Linked DNA regions of Saccharomyces cerevisiae S288C. The protein of the gene in region 3 binds, or shares a complex with, the protein of the main gene of each other region. Each region holds a gene or a part of one and is shown on either strand. Other genes may lie near its edges.

Region 1 (6,713 bases), on a different chromosome or scaffold from region 3:
TATTACGATTATTCCTCATTCCGTTTTATATGTTTCATTATCCTATTACATTATCAATCCTTGCACTTCAGCTTCCTCTAACTTCGATGACAGCTTCTCATAACTTATGTCATCATCTTAACACCGTATATGATAATATATTGATAATATAACTATTAGTTGATAGACGATAGTGGATTTTTATTCCAACAATTCCACTGTTGTTAGAGACTATAATATTAGATATACAGATAATACTAGAAGTCATACCCAAAGATATAGAAATCTACAAAAGGGAATCGGTGTTTCTACACAATATCATTTTATCGATGTTGAACTTCTAACATTTTCCTATATGCGCAATGTCTTTCCCTTATGAACACGCACAGGCCAAAAACTTACCAGAAATTCTTCTGTATTACAAAAAAAAAGAAATGAATTTATCAAAGTAACGCAACGGCAGCAGAATAGAGAAAGCGTAGTGACCGATGTCAGACGCGAAGGAGTCGCAGATTCTCAAACTAAGGAAAATCCAGCCTCTATGGGTGAATAGCTCATCCAATCGATCCAAGAAAAATTGTTGAGGCTATAATTACATATAATATCTACTGAACAGCTGCATTCCAGGACCTTTTTGAACAGCGCGCCCAAAATTAATGAAGAAATCGTTGATCTTATGTGAAGACCGAACAGAAAGGACAGACTAAAGTTTCGCCCAATTAGCTTACGAACATATAATGACGAGGACGCCACATTCCTCAGTATGAGTAGGGGGTCAATTAAATTCTTGAGTTATAAGTGTCCCATTTACTATGGTTATGCTCTGCTTCCCTATTTTCTTTGCGTTTTCATAAGAAGGGATATGAAGTATTGTCATTCCACAGAGTATGATATAAATCAGTCAGGTCACCACTGCTGACAAACTCCTCTAAAGTACCCAAGTTGTATATATTATTCTCATTAGCGCTTATTTGGCTAGGCGCAGAATGTTGTCTTTTTGTCTGTTGTAACGATCGATCTTGATGCCGCAGATTACATGGAACATTTTCTGATGCGTCTTGAGTGTACGATTCCTCTCCAGAGTTCAACAAAGACGATAACTTCAACGGTGAGTTTGCTGCTGAGGCAGAAGCATTGTTGTATGAAGGAGCAGTACTGTCATACAACTGAGAAATTTGGCTTGAATTTCCTTGGTCTGGAATATTACCAGTGGCCAATTTGTCTCTATACAAAAATTTATAGTCGCTTTCTAACATTTTTCTAATTATTAAATGAAAGCCTGATTTTTCAACGGATTTCAACATGTACCTGTAAATAAAAGAGCGGGTATCAAAAAACTCACGCAAAAGGTCACTTAGACCCGGTTCAACTTCTTTCAAACGTTCGATGAATTCGGCTCTATCAATTTGTTCGGCATAGCAGTATTTTAAAAATATGATTCTTATGGATATGGCAACCAAACTCGAACTTCTCGAAAACTCCCTGAAAGTTTGACAATCATAATCCTTCTCGTCCAAATTATTATTAAAAAAAGAAATAATGTTAGTTATTCTCTTAAAAACTTTCAAAGTGTTGATAACATCCTCTAAAGTGATGTGCGGGTCTTCCACATAAAATTTTGAAGCCATCACGAAAAATATCAGTTCATAAAAGTCCAAACATGCCCAAACAATAAAATCAGTATCAACCTGTATTAAGAATTGATTAATTTCCCTCCATTCTTGAAACATTTCATTCGCATATTTCATGCTTTGCTCAGTTATCACCTCTGGATCTTCAGATAGCCTAGCAATAAGATTGTTAACAGCACCCAAGATGGAGAACCATGTATTTTTATGGTAACTTACAAATTTAGCTGCTTCAATTAGATCGTTTTTTGGATATTCTGGATATTTGCAGTGAGCTACTTGAAAAACTCTTGAGGTGTGAAGCTTTATTTTGGCCAATTTTAACCTAAAAGATTCAATGTCCTCAAAAACTTTCTCCAATAACTTTTGTCTGATAATTGTGGGTTTAACGGATACTTCTAAAGACGTGAATTTCTCATTATAAAGAGTCTCTGAAAAAAAATCTCCAACAATTTGGGCTATCGCTAACTCACCATATTCAATAAGCCTGGACAATGACAAGTTTTTTAGCTTGGGCGATGACGGTGATAAAGAGGACGTACCAATTTTCGTTAAAAATTCTTTATGGTTAATGAATCCCATGTCCCTGAAATCCTTCGGCAAGAGACAATTCATTTGATGTTCATTTATTAAGGATAAATCACCAAGATCAGTTAAAAAACGCTTTTCCAGACTGTATATTTTCCACCATATTTTTCTTCTCCGTTCGGCAGTATTTTCGTCTATTCCAACATAATACTCCCAACGAGACAATCCCATCTTAGTGGAGCATGTAACCGCAACTTCTAGCATTTTTTCAAATCCAAAACGCTCATCAATTTCATTTTGGATTTCTAGCAATGACACTAAAATCTCTAGGTAATCTAAAGTGTTTATGTCCAACATGTGATATAGGGTAACATTGTAGTATGCGTAACAAAGAGTAGATAGAAGATATTCTGATGAGCAGAATGACGAGAATAAAACACTCTTTTCTTGATGGGGCAAGGAGAAAGCTTGGTTTAAAAATTCCGCAAAGCGCTTCCTATGTTGAGCATACATTTGAGTAACTATTCGAAACATCGAAAATGAATCATGTAAATTTTCTATCAATTGAGTAGTCGTAAACCCGGTAATCGATTGTATAAATGGCTGAGGTAGTTGATGAATAACAGAAATGACTAAATCGTTAGATAAAGGTGCTGGGGAAGTAGGCAAACTAGCAGATGCCGTCGTAGTAGGAGTTTGCTTTATTTTTTGAAGATAGTTCTCTAATGGATTAGAAATAGAGATGCAACCTTGGATCAAATGTTCATAACACAAATCAAACAATCTTAATATTAGATAAATAGTTTCCTTTGTATCTATTAACATCGATGAACCCGTGTTTTCGATATTTTTTTTAATTAAATATCCTATACCTCTTAGTGAAAAAGCCTGTATTGGAGAGAAAAGACCAAATACTTCATCTACTAGTGGAGTGGTGGCTAGAAATGAATCTGGACTTTGTGATTTAACCATTTGGTCTGTCCAAAAGGAGAACCTCGTCATGTGTATTTTATTTCTATACTTGTTGGTTAAAAGATACGTTTCTATCGATCTTTGTGGGCGAGGAGAGAAACTGGAAAGCTTGGGGTAGTTTATTTCGGGATTCCAACTGTTAATCAGGTTATTCAACTGCGACTTCGTTTTATCAATCAAGAGCTGAGTGTCATCACAAGGCGGCAGAGCGTACAAATTTGTCAGAATATTTTGATACGTAACCAGTTGATTTTGATATTTGGAATCATCTTTAAAGAGAATATTATTATCATTAGTAGGATTATTGGAAGTATCAGGAGCATGCGTCGCACTCGGAGAGACTGGAGTCTGTATCAGGTCGTTCATCAGTTTGAAGTAATATTGATTATCTAGCTTAATCGCAGTGTCCAGATGCTGTACATCTGCTGAAGCCTCTACATTGGCGTGGGAAGAGGGTGGAGCAACAGCTGTAGTAGGCAAAGACTGGGAACTATCCTCCTTCTGCGGTAAATGTTTTTTTAGGAATACACACGTACAATCGTAAGAAATGCAGTTGGTACATGGATATTTACCTGTGCATTTGATTTTCCTTTTTCTGCAATTGACACATGCTGTCGAAACTTTTGATCTAGTTGATTTCTTCACTTTCATTGCGGTCACGCAATAAGAAAAAATTAATAAAACTGCTGATGCAGTTGTCGCCTAAGACCTATGGTTGCTTTGGAAGGCTCCTGAAGACACAAACACAGGAAATACATAAATACATTAATGAGATTCTATAACAGTATCTACATATTTGCATTCTAAGACTCACTGTGATAGTTCATTTATTATTCCGCGGAAAGTCCGAGCGGCAGAGGAGGCAGCTCCGCGGAAACAAGGGCAGCGCCTGTTGTTCTGGAAGAAAATGAAAAGTGAAATGCAGTTGTCGTGGAAATAATGGCTTTACCTGAAAGCAGCAGAGCACGGTGTTAACAAGGAATAGCTGAGAATGAGTGGAAGTAATATGGGATACTATGACGTACTCGCAGGGCTTTCAGCGCTGGAAAAGTCATCCCAGGTAGTGTTCAGTGCGACTGAGCTTCAACAGCTTACGCAACAATCTCATGCTACCGACAAGGGCATAGAGGGCAGTGAGAATAGTAAAGCGAAGGTATCCAAGCCCAAAAGAGTAGCTGTACATGGTTACCTAGGCGGTAAAGTGTCGCTCGCCGATGCGGCACAGGTGGAGTATGAAGTAGGCCATTCACTGCTGGGCAGTTATGTGCCACGCCAGCAGTTGGAAGCCCTGTCAAGTGTCGACTTTTCGCACCATTTCCACCGCACATTAGAATGCAAAGCTGCTCTAGAGACACACGATGTTTTTCTTGCCGGCGCAGGACAATTGTCTCTACCCTTCCAATCACACATAGAGAGCCCCAGGAATAGCGAGGCTAAAAGGAAAAGAAAAGTGATAATATGCAAACGGTGTCAATCACGATTTATAGGTTCCCATAGGCGGTCTCAACTTAGAGAACATGCCTGCGTAGATTAAACCATGTAATTGATAGAGGTAGAATGTTGCTTCGTAGAAAGTGACTATACGATTCCTAAAAGGGGCTTCCTTCCACTCATGCGAAATCGAGATACATCAGACGAAAACAGAACGAATATTTAGCGCATATATACTATGTATATCTATTGCAATCCTAAAAGAAGGGATAGTGTAACATAGCCAAGGCGACAGAGTGTGTTATATACAAAAGAGCTAGAGTATGACTGTGTTTCTGGGCATCTATAGGGCCGTCTATGCCTATGAGCCGCAGACACCAGAAGAACTGGCCATCCAAGAAGACGATCTGTTGTACCTCTTACAGAAGTCAGACATTGACGATTGGTGGACAGTAAAGAAAAGAGTCATTGGTTCCGATAGCGAAGAACCGGTGGGTCTAGTGCCCTCCACTTACATTGAAGAAGCTCCTGTTTTGAAGAAGGTAAGAGCCATTTATGATTATGAACAGGTGCAAAATGCTGATGAAGAATTGACGTTTCATGAAAATGACGTTTTTGATGTATTCGATGATAAAGATGCTGATTGGCTGTTGGTTAAGTCTACCGTTTCCAATGAATTCGGCTTCATTCCAGGCAATTACGTCGAACCAGAGAATGGGTCCACTTCCAAGCAGGAACAGGCTCCCGCTGCCGCTGAAGCTCCTGCAGCTACTCCTGCAGCCGCTCCTGCTTCTGCTGCCGTACTACCCACCAACTTTTTACCACCTCCTCAACACAATGATAGAGCTCGTATGATGCAAAGTAAAGAAGACCAAGCTCCAGATGAGGATGAAGAGGGCCCTCCTCCTGCCATGCCTGCAAGACCAACGGCTACTACCGAAACTACTGATGCCACCGCTGCGGCTGTTCGATCTCGTACAAGACTATCATACAGCGATAACGATAATGACGATGAAGAGGATGATTACTATTACAACAGCAACAGCAACAACGTTGGAAATCACGAATACAATACAGAGTATCACTCTTGGAACGTTACCGAAATCGAGGGAAGGAAAAAGAAGAAGGCCAAGCTATCAATCGGTAACAACAAGATAAACTTCATACCCCAAAAGGGGACTCCTCATGAGTGGTCAATTGATAAATTGGTCTCTTATGATAACGAAAAGAAACACATGTTCTTGGAATTTGTTGATCCATATAGAAGCCTTGAATTACACACTGGTAATACCACCACATGTGAAGAGATCATGAACATTATTGGTGAATATAAAGGTGCTTCCCGTGATCCTGGGTTGAGAGAAGTCGAAATGGCTTCCAAATCCAAAAAGAGAGGTATTGTTCAATATGACTTCATGGCTGAATCACAGGACGAATTAACCATAAAATCAGGCGATAAAGTCTACATTTTAGATGATAAAAAATCTAAGGACTGGTGGATGTGCCAACTGGTTGATTCAGGGAAAAGCGGTCTCGTTCCTGCACAGTTTATTGAGCCTGTTCGTGACAAAAAACATACTGAATCTACAGCAAGCGGTATCATCAAGTCTATCAAGAAAAACTTCACCAAATCTCCATCTAGGTCGAGATCTAGATCAAGATCTAAATCCAATGCCAATGCCAGTTGGAAAGATGATGAACTACAAAACGATGTTGTAGGTAGTGCTGCCGGTAAAAGGTCAAGAAAAAGTTCATTGTCCTCTCACAAAAAAAACTCTTCGGCGACCAAAGATTTCCCCAATCCAAAAAAATCGCGTCTATGGGTTGATAGAAGTGGTACTTTCAAAGTGGATGCAGAATTCATTGGATGTGCTAAGGGGAAAATCCACTTGCACAAGGCTAATGGTGTCAAGATTGCTGTCGCCGCTGATAAACTATCCAATGAAGATTTAGCGTATGTGGAAAAAATTACTGGGTTCTCCTTAGAGAAATTTAAGGCGAATGATGGGTCTAGTTCCCGTGGCACTGATTCAAGAGACTCTGAAAGAGAAAGAAGAAGGAGATTGAAGGAGCAGGAGGAAAAAGAACGCGATAGGAGATTGAAAGAGCGTGAATTATACGAATTGAAAAAAGCCAGAGAACTCCTAGATGAAGAAAGATCAAGGTTGCAAGAAA
Region 2 (7,929 bases), on a different chromosome or scaffold from region 3:
TTACGAGTCGATTAATGTTTAACAGATATTTGCATCTACTGACGTTGTGTGAATTGTCTAGTTCTGATACACAACGTGTGATACCGATGGGTGATATTTCTATGAATGATTCTCTATCTGTTTTGAAGAACCGCCTCAACCTACTAATTGTTCTAGCTACACGTTTTGATTTAAACTTAGAGAAGCGCTTCCAAGAGCTAACACGACCGTTATATAGTAAGGAATATTTAAACTTGCATACACAGAACACAGTCAGGACGATAACAACATTGATCATGCAGGCCAGCCTTTCATTCCTGGAAATCAGTCGAATCAAAAATCATCCATTCAGTGGAAAATTTATTGCGTCATTATTTGATAAACTAGTACTTCAACAACCTTCCATATCGGGAGTAACAGAAAATTTTTTGAAAGAATTCACAAATTTAGTCTCCAAAATGAAAAGAAAAAGCGTGAGTATGCTCAAATTTCTGTATCCTTCACTGGTGGCCATGTCTCAAGAAAATATATTCGAGTCGTCTTTTTTTTTATTATTACAGGTATATTTGAAGAGCTTAGATGTGCTGGGTCCAACTTGGGTGCAAAATTATCTTTTTCAGTTTATAAAGAGCAAGGCTCAAGAAAATGAAAGATGGATAGAATGCTATTGTCAGATCGGAAAATTCCTCGTAGATTCTGGTATATTTACCTGGTGGACTTTCTTTACCTATAACGGCTTAGATGCTGCATTACACTTTCAGCTTGCATTTCACTCCCTTATTATCGATTTCTGTGATACAGACTCTTTTGAATTACTGAAAAAACCGCTTTATTCCATTGCTTCTGATTTGCTGCTCATTTCCAAAGATGACGCTTTCTATCACTTTCTTTCCAATCTGTTGAAGAGGGCACATATCATAGTAGCAGATTTGAAACCTGTTTCCGATGAGAATGAACTCCTGCGATTGGCTTATATTTTTTCTAAAGCATTGAAAAAAAATGCATATCAAGATCTATTAGCTGTTTTCTTATCCCTGGCGAAAAAACATTACGATGAAGGGGACATCAGTAGAAATTTCTTGGCAAAATATCTCGAATTTCTTAACAAAAATTGCTTGACTGAGCTAAGAAATAATCAACTCTTCATCAGTCTAAGAAGGGAACTTGGTATTTCAAGTGATGAAGACGAAAAATGTGCGTTCTGGGACTCATTCAATGAAGCAGGTGATATACTTTCCAAAGCTGCATTTGTTGAAACCGGTATTGTTCAAGCCTGTTGCACTGGGAATGAAATTGATGGATATCTTGACAATTTAAGCACTTTATTCACCTCCACCATGTTAGAGAGCCCTTTTGCATTTTTTTCTGACCTGGTGATAGCACACATATTTGAGAACAGACCTTTTTTCGACGTGAATATCAAGAATTTTCTTCTATCTCACTTCATAGACCTTTTCAACAAGGTTTTAAAAATGAAATTCGAGCAGGTATCTCCTGATGAATTTGCTGAACTTTGCAAAGTATACAGGGCGTTATGTATTGAGTGCGCAACAGACGACACCTTTAATAGTAATAGTGATTTGATCGCCGCAAAAGATGCGTTTTTGGTATCTGTGTTGAGAATCGCAGATGGGTTTTGGGAGCATGACAAACTTTTGCAGCTAAGGATGCTTGATAGTAATATGAACATACCTAATCAGATTCCTCATACTACTTTGCAAAGTTCGCTATCTGCGATTGTAATAAAGATAATAGAAAGTAATATAGGAAAAATTGAGGCGTCTGAACCTTTCAAAACCTTCAAGAATACGTAAATTATACACATGTAATATAAGCATATTTAAAAATTCTCCGTAATATATGTCATATATGTCAAATTGCGAATTAGTCCAAATAGAAACAAGATCTATCAGTGTTGGTGATAAACATTTTGTATTCTTTTGGTAACGTGTATCTCAAAGAAGTGCATGACTTTTTTTACGTTCTCTTTAGTCTTGATTTAGTTGCTTCTGCGTTTGTTAAATTTTTTGTCCTTCCCGTTTGATTAATAATACTTATAATAATACAATTCTGTAACAAGAAAAGCAAAGTTACTACATTCTCATTGTGGTTTCTAAGTCATCTAATCTTCTCCTGCCCCTTCTAGATAATCTATCAGTTTCTCTTTTCAATCTTCTTAAGTTTCTTTCTTTTTCAATTTCTCTCTTTTGTATTTCTTCTTTTGTTAATATTTCCACCCTTGGGCACCAATTGGAGCCCAGTTCATCAATATCCAGCCTTATACCAGATAAGTACCCAAATGCGGCATCGTTTGGGACATGGTCCTGAATCAAGTGGCCATCTACCCAGTCCTTCTTTATCTTCAAGATAGTTTCATGAAGCGATTGAGATATTAAGGGGATGAACTCTCTTGTTAAGCCAAGGTCCTGTACAATGGATGTAGCAAATCTTTCTGGAGTAAGTGATTTGTCGTTCAAGTTCCACTGGAAGTTATCTTCAAAAAATCTGTCTTGTAAGTTGCAGGTTAGGTTGATTATCACGTGGAGGTCAGACATTATCTCAGTGGCTGCAATATTTTCGAGGTCTTTCAACTGCTCTTTTATTATATTCGCAATTTGAGTTTGTAAGGTAGCGGAAGTCATATCAAGATCTTTACAGTATATAGAGGCAAATTCCTCCGGAGATATGGAGTCGTCATTGTAGTTCCAGAGAAACTGGTCTTTTATGGTATGACCCATATGTTCTATATCCAAAGTAATTGGTATCATGATTGCCTCTCCAGAATTGGCGTTTGCCTTCGTTTCTTGATCAGTGTTGAGTCTATATGGAGACACCACTTTTCCGTTAATGAAAGTATCTCTTATTTTAGGGTATCTCAATATGTTGAAGGGGTTGTGGTGTTGGTCTTGCAGATCCGGTAGAACGGCGTTTCCAATATCCTGTGCCTGCGCTTTGTTGCTCGGACCATTGCTGGCGTTGTTATTGCTATTCAAACCGGATAAAGATTCCACAACCATGTTTGAACCCGCATCGTATTTGTTGTTAGAGATAATACTATCAGCTCCATTCATGTTCTCTAGGACATTGTATTCGGAACCGTCCATGGTAACACCATTTGTAAGTGCCGGAGTATTTTCATGAGACACTGCATTATCTTTATAGTGTGTATCAGCATTGTTGAAATTAGAACCGTTCATATTGAATTCATCAAAGAGATCGTTGTCATATTCCGCATAGTTGACCACTTTAGCCCTTTTATGCTGCCTTGTTTGTTGAGCCATTGTAAAGATGGGGATACCATCATCTTCGTTTGTCAATCTGTTATGAAAGTTAGAAATATAAGCTTGTGGAATAAGCTGGTTTTGGTGCGACATTGTGTGCTGCTATGTGCCTTTCTTCTTTCTTTTTTCAATGTACTTCATTCAATAATCTCTATTTGTCGTATTTTCTAAGTTTTTTTTTTTTGTCAAAGTAGTCGCGGCGACTTTAAATGAGCAGATCATCATTTAGTAGACAAAAAGACACGGGACATCTTCTATCTATATAGTTTACATACTTTATTATGTGAAAGAGTCTTTCGAAATTGCAACAATGCTCGATAAATCTATGGGTCATGTGCTCTATAATTCCTGTACATTAGCATCGGGTGCGTGTAATTTTTGGGGTGATATGGCATTCTCCATCAACTTTTCCTTTTATTTAGCATCTTCTGTAAGTCAGATGCTACTTTTGCACTGCCGTGGGTCTCCTTGTGGCATATAAAGCATTTGGTGCCCTTTTTCATATCTTTGGCAAAACACGATCCACAAAAATAATGGCCACAGTTTGTGACCACTGGAGACTTGTAATCTTCCTTACAAAGAGTGCACTTGAACGGTATCTTTTCCAAGTCTAGAGTAACCGCTTTGGAGTCCTCTTTATCCGCATTCCATTCTTGGTTCAGCTTCCAGCCAGTCTTGAAATCATCCCTCGAGTGTAAGAACTTGCAGCTATCTCCGTAACCACAGTATCCCGTCTGTTTGTAATCTTTGCAAACGTCGGGCTGAAAATCCATCAGCACCGTGGTCCGGATATTCGTTGGTTGGTTAATCTGTTTAGTGAGGCGTTTATTTTTACCGCTCATGTTCAGTACCAGCTCATTGTCATCACTAGGTCGCCTCTTCTTTGCCTTCTCAGCCAGCTCTTTTCTCTCAAAGTTTAGAAGATCTTCTTTAGTGCTGTCGTCGTTGACCGTTAAAGTGTATTTATCTAAATCCTCACCCTTTTTCTGTAGTTTACCTTCATTCTCATGTGAAAGTTGAAGTGTCCTGCTATTTCCACTCTTGGCTAAGCTCATGAGGTCACTGGAACCCTTTTCTTCATCGCTGGCCACTAGTTTCTCTTCGCTAAAATTAATTTTCTGCCTCTTTTTCTGGTTCTTTTCATCAGAAGAGCTTTTGTTCACTAATCTCTTTCTGAACATGAATACCTGGAGCTTTGATTAAGTGATGGAGCTTTCGATGGCTTTAGCTTGAGTCCACTTCAGATAGAGATGCGCATGGCTTTTTCTTATTATTCTCCGGTTGCACGGAAAGAAGCGGGAAGAGGACTAAAGGGTTTTTGGATCAGCTTCACAAAATATATACTTGGATACGTTCGCTACTGAGGTAAAGTGGGCATGCAAGGTTGCAATTTAGGATTCGAGCTGTCTAGTTGATCCTCCGGAGTGTAAAAACTGATTTTCAATGAGTGGTAACACAACTAACGTGCATGAGACTAGAGCCAAGTTTGCAGAGACGCTGCAACCGAGGATTGGTGGCAATACTACAAAAGTGATACGAGCTGCTTTGGAAAAGAACGAAGCTGAAAGCGGGGTGTCTGAGGATAATGATAACGGGTCATTGGAGAAAGTTAACGTAGCTACTTCGCCGCTTTTGACATCAACACCGCCCACAATCTCAAAGGCGTTGGTGAAATTGTACCCTTATTTAATTCTCATTGACGAATTCCTAAACGTTGTTACATGGACAGGAAAGAATATTTGGAGCAGTGTTTTGATGCTGTGTCTCTTTATTACTACCGTTGAGTATTTTGAAACGCTGGTGAAGTACTTTGGACATCTTGCCATCATTGCTATTTTGTGGGGTTATTCCCTATTGGACAATTATATTGAGGGTACGTTGAGCTCCTCACCAACATTAGAAGATATTGCTCTCTTAATGAACAGAGTATCCTTGAAGTCAGATATTTTGCTCTCCCCCATGGTTAACCTTGGAACGCAAGATATTCAACGGCTTCTATATACTACGGTCATATTATCTCCAATATACGTGATGATAACCTGGCTACTTTTACCACCGAGAAGCTTGATGCTGATGGTGGGCATGTTCCTTTTAACGTATCACTCACCATGGTCTAAAGTAGCAAGAAGGCTTTTATGGAAGTTTAAGATTGTCAGGCTGCTTGTTTTCTACGTCACGGGTTTAGACCTTGGTGGAATAAATAAGGACCAGGGTATTTTTGCTACAGTGCAGAAGCAAGTGAAAAAGTTGGCATCAACAGAAAACAGTAATGGCGTATTATCCGATTCCAAGCCTATCCGTTTTACTTATGTTTTGTACGAGAACCAGCGTCGTTGGTTAGGTATTGGATGGAAGCCTAGTATGTTGAGTTATGAGAGGACTCCATGGACCGATGAATTTTTGAATGAGGCTCCCTCTCCTGAAAACTTCCATCTACCTGAAGAGACTAACACTATGGTTTGGAGATGGGTCGACAAGACATGGAGGCTAGACATGACTAATGACGGTGCCATTCAAGTGCCCAATTCAAAGGCAAGAACTTCCGCAGATCCCTCCCCTGACGAGGGATTTATATATTACGACAATACCTGGAAAAAACCAAGTAAAGAAGATTCCTTTTCTAAATATACAAGAAGAAGAAGATGGGTAAGAACCGCAGAATTGGTCAAAACTTCTGACTTTGATGAAAGCGTGATAAATTCGAATAGAAATTCTGCCATTGAACAAAAGGTTGAAGAAAACAGCACGAATGGTTTAACCGCTGAGCAAGAGCTTGGGAGCAACAAGCAAGAGAAAGATAATGCGAAAAAAGTAGGAGAGCCTACAACAGAAGAGACAAAAGAATTTGCCGAAGCATCAAACATCAACGAAGGCGAGTTTGAAAGAATTTCCTCGACCGATGAAGAAGTTTTAAAATCTAGGGCAAGAGATCGACTGGCAAAAGTATTAGATGATACTGAAGAGAAAGAGCAATCAAATCCAACCATTGGTCGCGATAGCAAGAAGGCCGTATGATGCTCGCTCCCGTTTTTACCTTTACATAATATAATCTCTAATTTACTTTATTACACAAATGGTAACTCCCTTTAAATAAACTTAAAAAAGAACGTATAGAACTCTCTTCTTCAATGAATAGTAATCCAATTTTTTTTATTAACTATACAACGTTATGACTTTAAAAATTAAAAAATATGTTTATGAGTAGTAAGAAAAACAAAAGGAAACAAAAACAAAAAAAGTTATAAAGCCTATTTCTACTTCCTGTATAACGAACACAAATGGATATTATTCTTTATGCGGATGGGAAAGTATTCTTAGTTTTTTTTGTTCCAGTCTCGTTATGATAACACTCCGATCATTCCTTATTTTTCTTATAATCTGTTAACCTTCAAAGTTGGTGGCAAAGATTGGATCAATTTCTTAGCCTTACCAGCATCGTTGATAACCAAAGTGTACAAAGAAGAAGAGCCTCTAACCTTGAACTTGGTTTGTCTGAATGGCTTACCGGCCTTGTTCAATTTTTTGTTAATCTTAACAGTGGCGGTCTTAACGTCAGCTCTTCTGGTCAATTCCAAAAATTGTTTGATGTCGGTGATTTCTCTAGCCATTTTTCCTTGATATTTTGTCGTACTATATTCAACCTGAAATAAAAAACTAACAGTTGAAATATTTCTACATTGAAATTAGAAAATTTAATTCTTTAGATTGAAGATTCAATATTGTGCAAAAGCGTACAGCAGCAATCACGACTCTACATGCCATAGAGCTTGGAAAACTCTCCATAATTTTCCACTCGAACGTATGATGCTCCGTCTATTTTTTTCAACAGTTGCACGGACGAGTCCTCCTTTTCGCAAGGCATTTTAATTGTGTGGGTTTATGAAAATGCACGGATGCATTTTCTCTAGATGAAAATTCCGTCTTGGAATAATATCGGAATGAGCTAAAAGAACACCAGTACGCGAATATGTGAGATGCCCTGTTTTGTCACATAACAGCGGCAGTTAATTTGGCGTCTTTTCTGGGAAGCGAGTTTATTTGGCAAGGCTATGATGTTTTATAATACTAATCACGCATTGCAACTTCACAAAGTAGTTGTGACATGTGGATGTAATAGCGTTACTTTTCTTTTTGTTTATTGCTATTTGTTTCTATTTTCTTTTTTTAAATCGCGCTAATACGTGGAAAAATGCGTAGAAGCCGGGAATGGGACGTGATTATGAGATCATAACATGACTGCGAGCTAGAGAGCATTGGAAGAATTTGCTTTTTTGTTCAGTTCCCTACTCATATATTTGTTTCATAGAAGTCGTAGTATACGTGAGACAAGAGCACTTGAAAATAAATCTTGGATCTGCTGGGAGCAATATCATCAAGTAAAATAAGGGGGAAACCATATCAAATGTCAGGGTTCATTAAGAGCACGTTGCTTGGTCTAGGCCAAGATTACTTAGAAGATCAATATCAAGAGTTCGCAGAACAGCATTTCCAGCCAACCAGGGATCCGTTTTATGAAACGAATAAAGATGGTAAAAAGCACCGCCGCAGACTGCCATATTATTGCACTAAGGATGAAAGTAAAGCGTGGAAAAAGGTCCAAAACAAAGCCTGGCTGCATGACAAATCACTGTGCGGATGCTGTTGCTGGACAAACACTATAGGATGGGCA
Region 3 (8,220 bases):
TCTGTCATCGAGGTCTCTTTTGTGTCGCTAACAAAACATCACTAAATACGAAGACACTTTGCATGGGAAGGATGCAGCAAATGGCAAACTAACGGGCCATTGATTGGTTTACCTCTTCTATTTGTATTACGACCAGAAAGAACGAATGGTTTTCATCAATGAGGTAGGAAACGACCTAAATATAATGTAGCATCGATAAAATCTTTGTACTGTATGGTTGCAATGCCTTCTTGATTAGTATCGAATTTCCTGAATAATTTTGTTAATCTCATTAGCCAAACTAACGCCTCAACGAATTTATCAAACTTTAGTTCTTTTCCTGTTCCATTTCTGTTTATAAACTCAGCATATTGGTCAAATGTTTTCTCGCTAACTTCAAAAGGTATTAGATATCCTAGTTCTTGAAGTGAGTTATGAAATTCGCTTACAGAAATGGTGAGCGATCCGTTGATATCATTGTCCACATAAACTTTTCTCCAACTTTTCACTCTTTTGTATAGGGCGATGAATTCTGCCTGGTTGACAGTGCCAAACCTGGAAGCACCAAATAAATTTATCAGCGCATCTACTGATGATATACAAAAATGGGAGTTGTCGTCGTTTTGTAGTAAGTTCTGTAGTTCCTCAGCTGTCAGTCGGTTTTTGCCCTTTACATCATGGTTATGAAATAGCTGTGTGGCCACTTGCATGTCTCGTACATCTTCTCTGCTATCGAACGAAGCAGGTGCAACTTTCTTCAAGAGTTGTGCAGGCACTGCTTGATTGTGAATTAGGGGAGGAGGAGAGGAAGCTATCCGTTGAGCGGAAGTGTTCAAGTTGTTATAATGGGTTGGCGCTGGAGGTATAGGCCTGCCTGCTGGTTTCTGTGCGATAACATTATATCTAGGATCCACAGGTGTTTTCGTATGTCTTGGAGAATAACTTTGGGGAGAACCATAGGAGTGGTGACCGTTTTCTGCTCTGTTTTTGTTATATTGAGTTTGTAAGGGAATTGGAGCTGAGTGGACTCTAGTGTTGGGAGTTTGTGCTTGAGTAACCTTTATTTGTTGCTGTCGTTGTTTCTCTTTCTCGAATTCACGTCTAGTTTCCTCCATGGCCTCTTTAGGTGTAGCATAGCGTACAAAGTCATCGCCAGCAGCGTATTTGAGCTTCTTTGCACACATCGTTTAATGGTGTAGGTTTATAGTTATTTTATGCGGTATACGGTATACATACATGTTCAGTGAAATAGCAATTCCCATCGCTTTGTATTCCTGCGGTTTTTTTATTCGGATAGTTTCTAAATAAAAAAAATCGACAAGACCCTGAGCCAGATGACTGAAATTATCAGTTGTTAAAAGCGATGGAGCACTATCCAATATGCGTATTGTTTTCTTCTTCTGAGTTATGTATATAATGGTGAACTACAAGATTATATAGATTCAGGTGCAAGGTATTGAGCATGACACATGCTGTGTGTATCGTGGCCTATTCACTGTGGCCTATTTCATTCCACTTCCACTGAATATCATTTCAAATGTATTAAAAGACTTTTGAAAGTAACACTGATAGTATGTTGTAGTTGTTCTTGGAAATGTTGAACCAAACCGATTGTTCATTCGCCAAGTTCGAAGATGCCGTTTTCGTACTTGCCAGAAAAAACACGCTTGAAAAAGAAAATCTTGAGTAAAAAGAAAAGGGCTTAGGAATCTTCTATTCGATGACCATCAAACGATAAATGAAGCAATAAAGTCCAACTAACTAGCACCTCCATAAAATAAGTTAGCGTTTAAATGGTTGATGAAATAGATGCATAGAATGTCCTCGACAGTGATTTCATTGGCTCATTTCTGCGACAAGCATGGCCCAAGGATCATATCAGTTACACAATCCGCAGAAAAGGGAACGCTAGGTGAAGAATTACTAGTGCCTGATTATCCAACTGAATCATATTGCGAATCATGTCTTTTACAGTTTCCTGAAGAGTCAACTAGATCGATGCGGTGCTTCATCGAAGATGTTCCGTTTATAACTACCCAATATTCTTCTATAAGATACCAATTGCTAAATTCTATTATTAAAAGAGCCTTTTCTGAAGAAACAATGATTTATGATAATATGCCTTTTATATTTTTTGATGATCTTAGAGGATTGAACTTAGTTATAGGCTTTAAACTGTATGATGAAAATGCTAGAGGCAATGAAAGAAGATATTGTTTTATTTTAACAGTCGATTCCAGAAGCCATGACGATTCTATGAAAATGTTGAGTGAACACTGGAACTTTATCATCGGTGGATTTGATAAAATGATTGCATATATTAAAAACATTCATAAAAGCGAATTCTTGGGGAAAAATAAAACGGTGGAAAACAATTTGGAAACATTGAATAATAACGCTTTCATTGGCTCATATTTACGTGCAAACAAATCTAAATTCGGCCGTAATTTGGTGTCTCTGACGGATGATAAATTTCTCTTCGTGCGAATACATAAATGGAATTCATTTTTACTCCATACAGTAATGAATGAAAATAAATTACCTTGACTCAAATAAACTGAGATAAATGCTGGTAACCTAATAACCGATGAAATTACGGCATGGAAAATTGTTGGAACAACCTCCTAGTTCCTTTTATTCTTTCATTTCGATTCGAAATAGTCATCAAGGCCGAATACTTTACTCCGACGTGGCTTCTGGGATGAATTTAAAAAGGAAAGCCATTCTGGACCGCGATAGATAAATAGTAAGCTAGGTTTACAATTGTGCGTTTTGAAAGGCAACAAAACGATTGAGGTCTATCGTATGAATAACAAAATATATATGGTATATGCATGAACATATATAGATACATGTGGTGAATTTATCATGGTCATAATTTATTAAATTCTCGTAATCTGAATGCAAGGTATTCAGCGGAAGAATTTAAGCCAAAAGCAGACGTGGTCGGGATATCTTCAATTTCGTGCTCGTCTTCTGTATCTTCGTTTTCGTCTTCACTCTCCTCCGCCGTATCGCATTCTTTCCCATCGTTATCACCGCTTGCAATTGTGCTTAAATCCATGAAATTAGAAGAGTTATTCGAGGATGGGCTTAGATTTAAATCCATATCTAAATTCAAGCTCGGCGGAGGATTAAAAATATTAGCAATCATATCTTCGCTGAAGTCATTTGGTGGTTCCATAACATCTTCTTCAATGTCTTCGTAATCCAGTTTTCTCCTTTTGTTTTTACAGAACCATCTATTCAAAGGTACCCGTACTAAATCATTTCCGGAATCAATAACTCTCTCTGTGATTTTTACACCGGGCCCTTTGAACCATATTATTTGCTCATTTGCAGTATTTATGTCATTAATAGCAGTATTACCGAGATTTTGAGCGTTTTTTAGATTTGATCTACTGAAACGTTCTGTCGATTGGATGGTTCTTATATTTTTTTCCATTGGTACAGGAACCACAAATGCACCCGGGGCTTCAATAACAATATGGTTGAAGTTGTACTTCGAGGTATGAGCAGTTAAGGTATTAATCATTGAGGATAATGTAAAACTTTTAGATGCAGGCTTTTTGGGAGCTGTTGATGATAGCTGTGTCTGTTTTTTTGCACTATGGTATTTAGAGCGACTACTCTGTTCTAATAAAGAGGGCGATTGAAACTTAGGAACGGAAGGATGTGATAGTAAATTATGAGAACTATTATTCATGTTTTCTAATTTCAAAAAATTGGAAGTCTGATTGAAGTTCTGATGCAATAGTGGAGTATTTGATGAGGACCTGAAATTGGAGCTGGGAATTGATTTAGTCTGCTTTAAAGTGGGTAAACGTATTGTGGAGGAACTGTTCACTCTGGGCATACTGCTTGTGGTTAAGGTATCTGTAATTATTGTTCCTGTTTCGTAATCTATTTTACCTTCTTCTGGTGGATCATTTGGTCTGATTATGTATCGAGGGCAGTCATCAGAAGTTGAATACTCTCCCAGATCATCCCTCTCTAATTTGGGGCCTAAATATACAGCGCCTACCAAAGGTGGGGCAGTTGGGGCTCCCTCCGTGGGTTCTGGAACTTTGTCATTTAGAGTTGCGTTTGCTGGTAACAAATCTGCTATTGGAGAAGGGTATTTAAAAAATTTTCTTCCATTAACAGGTATCGTAGGCTCATCTTGGTCACGGAGTTCTTCCGGCAGGCAAGCTTTCCAAGTCCTGATTTTGTTGAAAACCTTATCACTTTCATTATAACGGAATTCGCAAACAAATTGAGGACCATTGACTTTCGTGCTAGGATCCCCACGCTGGAATCTGGTAAAATGAATAACGTAGCACTTTCCCTTAATATCCTGAATAGGATGATCTCTATATTGACCAGTTTTCATGACCTCATTCTTGTAGAATAACCTATCCACCCGATGAACGGTTTGTTCTGGCCTAAAATACCAGCAAGCATTCAACCATTTGTTTCCATCTGTAGTAGACCATAATCTAAAAATCTGGCCAACAATGGGTTTATTGATGTCGTTTGGATTATGTAAAAGAACCCAATCACCTATCTGGTATTTCTCATCATTGATTTCTACATCATCTAGAGGATATCTTAATTCACCTTCAGGTAAATAGTCTTCATCAGGTTTGGATAATTCAATTCGCACTAATCTATTGAAGTTTTTCTCCAATAGTTGAGCTCGTATTATATTGCTCTGATCTTGAGAATAATAAAGCTTAAAATTTGTTAGCATTAATTGAAAGTCTTCCTCAAAAGTATGGAAATTTCTATATTTTCTGGACTTAACCTTTTTCCTAATATCCATTAGACAAATGGGATCTGTTATGACAGAGTAATAGGTTGGCTCCTCGTTTCTATCTGGTAGTTTTTCAAAACAGAGGGTAAGCGTCTTATTATTTTGGTCGACCTCTCTTCTCATCATCTTCAAGATATTCTTAATCCTCAGTACATAGGGTAGATCAATTACTGGTGGTCTACCGCGTCTAACATGGGTTTTGGGATGCGCCGAGGTAATATTTGCATAGTTAACAACTGGAGTAGGTGAAGCCAGCGGCTGCGGTGTTATAGAAGCAGAATGGGTTGGAAACGCTGGTGAGTTTTTTTGTTGCATCCTGTAATCTTGGTTGGTTGGTTTCCTTTCAGTGATCGAACTATCTAGTTTTGCGAAAGCCATTTTCATCTCTGGATTTAAGCCAGCCTTTTCATCATTTTCCTGTGTATTAATGGGGTTCGAGGATAAATCGGAGGGTTGCATACTCTCTGCGAATATTTCCGGAATTCGACCTAGAGATGGATATGTCACCTCGGGATAATGTTTTCTTATATTGTGCACGATCTTTCCTTTAATAAAAGACTCAAGAAGAATGGCATATTTGTAAATTACTGAATCTTTTGCATTGTATGTCATTGCATTCCAAGGAATTTGCGCAAAATCGTTAACAAAATCTTGTGGCGATGTATAATGGGGCAATCGTTTCTTTAAAGTGTTTAAAGATATCGGATTCCTTATTATAATGTAATAGTCTGGATATTCTTTTTTAGGTGGCAGTACATTGAATATTGGATATATTTCTATACCATTTTCATCCTTTAAATGGAAGACAGCATCGTATTGTGTTTTGAGTAGCTTCTGTAAAAACCCATTATCTTGCTCCACCATGCTTGAAATATAATTTTTTTTATCTCTGTTTTGTAGCTAGGGCACTTCACAGATTTTCCCTTCGCTAATACCACACTGTTCCGCCAACTCAGCTTAATTTCAGTTGTAACTCAATTGGGCCTTTGATTAATAAAAAAAAAAGCTTTCCCGAGACAACAATCACTATTGACGGAAAGAGGGTAAGGGAGCAATAAAGAACTATATAAAACGTTAGACAAACGATTTTATAGAGCGCTTATCTGTGTTTATAGCGTTGCTGATAGATTTAGTTAATTCCAATTTGAATCTATCTCATCAGCAATTCATGATATTGCTTTTTCTTAGTATGCTATTTTGATTTCGCGCAATAGTAGGTATAAAAATTGAAAAAATACGAAACGGAATAGCATCTTAAACTATTAAATGGCAGAAATTATAATGAGGTTTGGTACCTATATATTTTGTATAAAGAAAATGCAATTATAAGAATGTTCATACGTGATTATAAGAATCGAGATGAGATGGTAAGTACCTTTTTGGTTACAGCGATTTTTCTTGTTCACTTTTGTAATGTTCGATTATATTCGTTTCAATAACGCCGTCTTCTTGTGTATCGACATCGCCAATAGTGTCATCATAAACTTTGGCAATTTTGACTCTCCAGAACCCATCTTCACCAAGCACATCCTTGGAAACCAATTTGTAGTGGCCCCATCTTGGCAATAATTGGGCCCAAACAACGTAGTAAACACCACCAAAGAAGAAAATACCCCAAGCAATTACACAGTGGATCCAGTATGGCATGCTTGAATACACCGACTCGCCATTTGAAGGTGGAACGTAAGGAGCAATAATCAGGTATAAATTGGATAATGTGAAAAATCCCGTAACAAAAACACCGGCCTTAATTGGTGGGTTCCATTCAATTTTACCTTGTCTACGTTGCCAGTATATCCAAAGCAAACCCGCGCTAATGGCAAAATTAATAATATTCATTGGGTAGGAAATTAAATTTTGGACTAGCAAATATGCATCACCTGGAGGTGGGGCTAAAATGGTTACTGTACAAACAATAAAATGTTGAAACAAACCAACCATTGGGGAGTTGAATGGCTTAGAAGAGGCAAAGAAATTAGAAAAGGGCAACACACCTTCACGTCCTAGTTGTTGAATAATTCTACCCTGAGAAAAAATGACAGAAAGAACATTTCCTAAGGCACTCAACCCGACCAGTGCGGCTGCTGCTCTCTTGGCTTGGCCGCCAAACACAATATCGAAGAAGTCAGCAGCTAAAATCAATTTTGAAGAAATTAACTTATCTTTTGGAACCACAGCGAAGTAAGCAATGTTCACAAAAATGTAGATTATAGCCAAGAAGACCATCGATGTAGGACCAGCAATCTTCAAAGTTCTCACAGGGTTCTTAACTTCACCAAGTGCATAGTTAACATTGGAGTAACCGACAAACGACCAAATAACACTATATAAGGCGTTAACAATACCATAAGCAGTGGCGGTTTCAGTACCTTCAAAAGCATTACGAAAGTTGTGAGATTGATAACCATCTTTGAGACCACCGCCAAGGGCAACCCAACCGGTAATAGAAATGAAGAGGACAATACCAATCTTGAAAATACCTAAAATGTTTTGCAAATATAGACCAATCTTGACATTCAGAGAATTAATTAGGAATGCAAAAAAAACGACGGCCACACCAATACCTCTTTGATTCCATTTGGTCACTTCAGTATCAGCAGCAGTTAAAAACATAATAGCTGTATTGATGGAATTACCAGCAGCCCAACCTAGGAAGAAAATATACGCAGCATACATACAGGTAATGAAGAATTTTGGTTTCCTGAAAATAGCCTCCAGGTAGTTTTTTTCACCACCATTTTTCGGTATAGCCGTACCGAATTCCATGTATACATATAACCCAGAAATGGCAATAATGGCGCCAACTGCCCACATAATTAATGCAAGCCCCACAGACCCACATAGTGTGTAAATGGTCGAGGAAACGGCGAAAACACCGGTACCAAGCATTCTATTACAGATAAGCCCAATACACGACAAAATACCTAACTGCTTTTCACCTTGGTCCAATTCTGTAGCAAATTGCTGGCCTGCCTCAAAATCGGAGGCACCGTTGTCAGCATCCACTGTCGAGTTACTTACTTCCTTTTTTGTAGTAGAAGAAGAAAATTGATAGTTCTCCTTGTTGAAGACATTCAACTGTGACAGAAACGTTCTTCCTTCCGACATTGCTCCGCCTTTGTTTTCTCTTCTCTTGTCTTTAAAGATTTCTACAGAATGTGAAACTAATCCAAAAACAAAATATGATGAACAGCGGAAAAGTTTGTGTGAGAATCATCCTTATATATATATACTGTATGTAATCTTACATCACCATATGAAAATAACGGGCTGACTCAAGAAATTCACCGCCAAGTAGGAGGAACCACATTTGTAATGCAAGACTGTGTTATGTGTTACCATGGTGTGCAATAACTGCGAAGGTAGCACCGCTTGAGTCAACTGTGGCAGTTTATTAGATGCCACTCGAGTGTGGTGAACGGCAATTCCACAGTCTAACTTTTCAG

What was found. The genes of interacting proteins can lie anywhere in the genome.
Region 1: RSC1 (region 3) and LDB7 share a complex: the UniProt entries of both Saccharomyces cerevisiae proteins name them as parts of the two forms of the RSC complex.
Region 2: RSC1 (region 3) and SFH1 share a complex: the UniProt entries of both Saccharomyces cerevisiae proteins name them as parts of the two forms of the RSC complex.

What each region holds. Positions count from the first base shown.
Region 1 is NC_001134.8:214,515-221,227, reverse strand, and holds LDB7 (Ldb7p), read left to right. Parts: upstream 1-4,098; coding exon 4,099-4,641; downstream 4,642-6,713. Other genes in the region: drug-responsive transcription factor PDR3, read right to left, coding at 828-3,758; cytoskeletal protein-binding protein SLA1, read left to right, coding at 4,862-6,713. UniProt on the Saccharomyces cerevisiae protein: Component of the chromatin structure-remodeling complex (RSC), which is involved in transcription regulation and nucleosome positioning. RSC is responsible for the transfer of a histone octamer from a nucleosome core particle to naked DNA.
Region 2 is NC_001144.5:774,512-782,440, forward strand, and holds SFH1 (Sfh1p), read right to left. Parts: upstream 3,354-7,929; coding exon 2,073-3,353; downstream 1-2,072. Other genes in the region: MMS22 (Mms22p), read left to right, coding at 1-1,793; U2-type spliceosomal complex subunit CWC24, read right to left, coding at 3,662-4,441; PEX30 (peroxisome biogenesis protein), read left to right, coding at 4,704-6,275; 60S ribosomal protein eL38 RPL38, read right to left, coding at 6,632-6,868; YLR326W (uncharacterized protein), read left to right, coding at 7,663-7,929. UniProt on the Saccharomyces cerevisiae protein: Component of the chromatin structure-remodeling complex (RSC), which is involved in transcription regulation and nucleosome positioning. RSC is responsible for the transfer of a histone octamer from a nucleosome core particle to naked DNA.
Region 3 is NC_001139.9:599,079-607,298, reverse strand, and holds RSC1 (RSC subunit protein RSC1), read right to left. Parts: upstream 5,639-8,220; coding exon 2,852-5,638; downstream 1-2,851. Other genes in the region: PEF1 (Pef1p), read right to left, coding at 156-1,163; LST7 (Lst7p), read left to right, coding at 1,798-2,526; MUP1 (Mup1p), read right to left, coding at 6,158-7,882. UniProt on the Saccharomyces cerevisiae protein: Component of the chromatin structure remodeling complex (RSC), which is involved in transcription regulation and nucleosome positioning. RSC is responsible for the transfer of a histone octamer from a nucleosome core particle to naked DNA.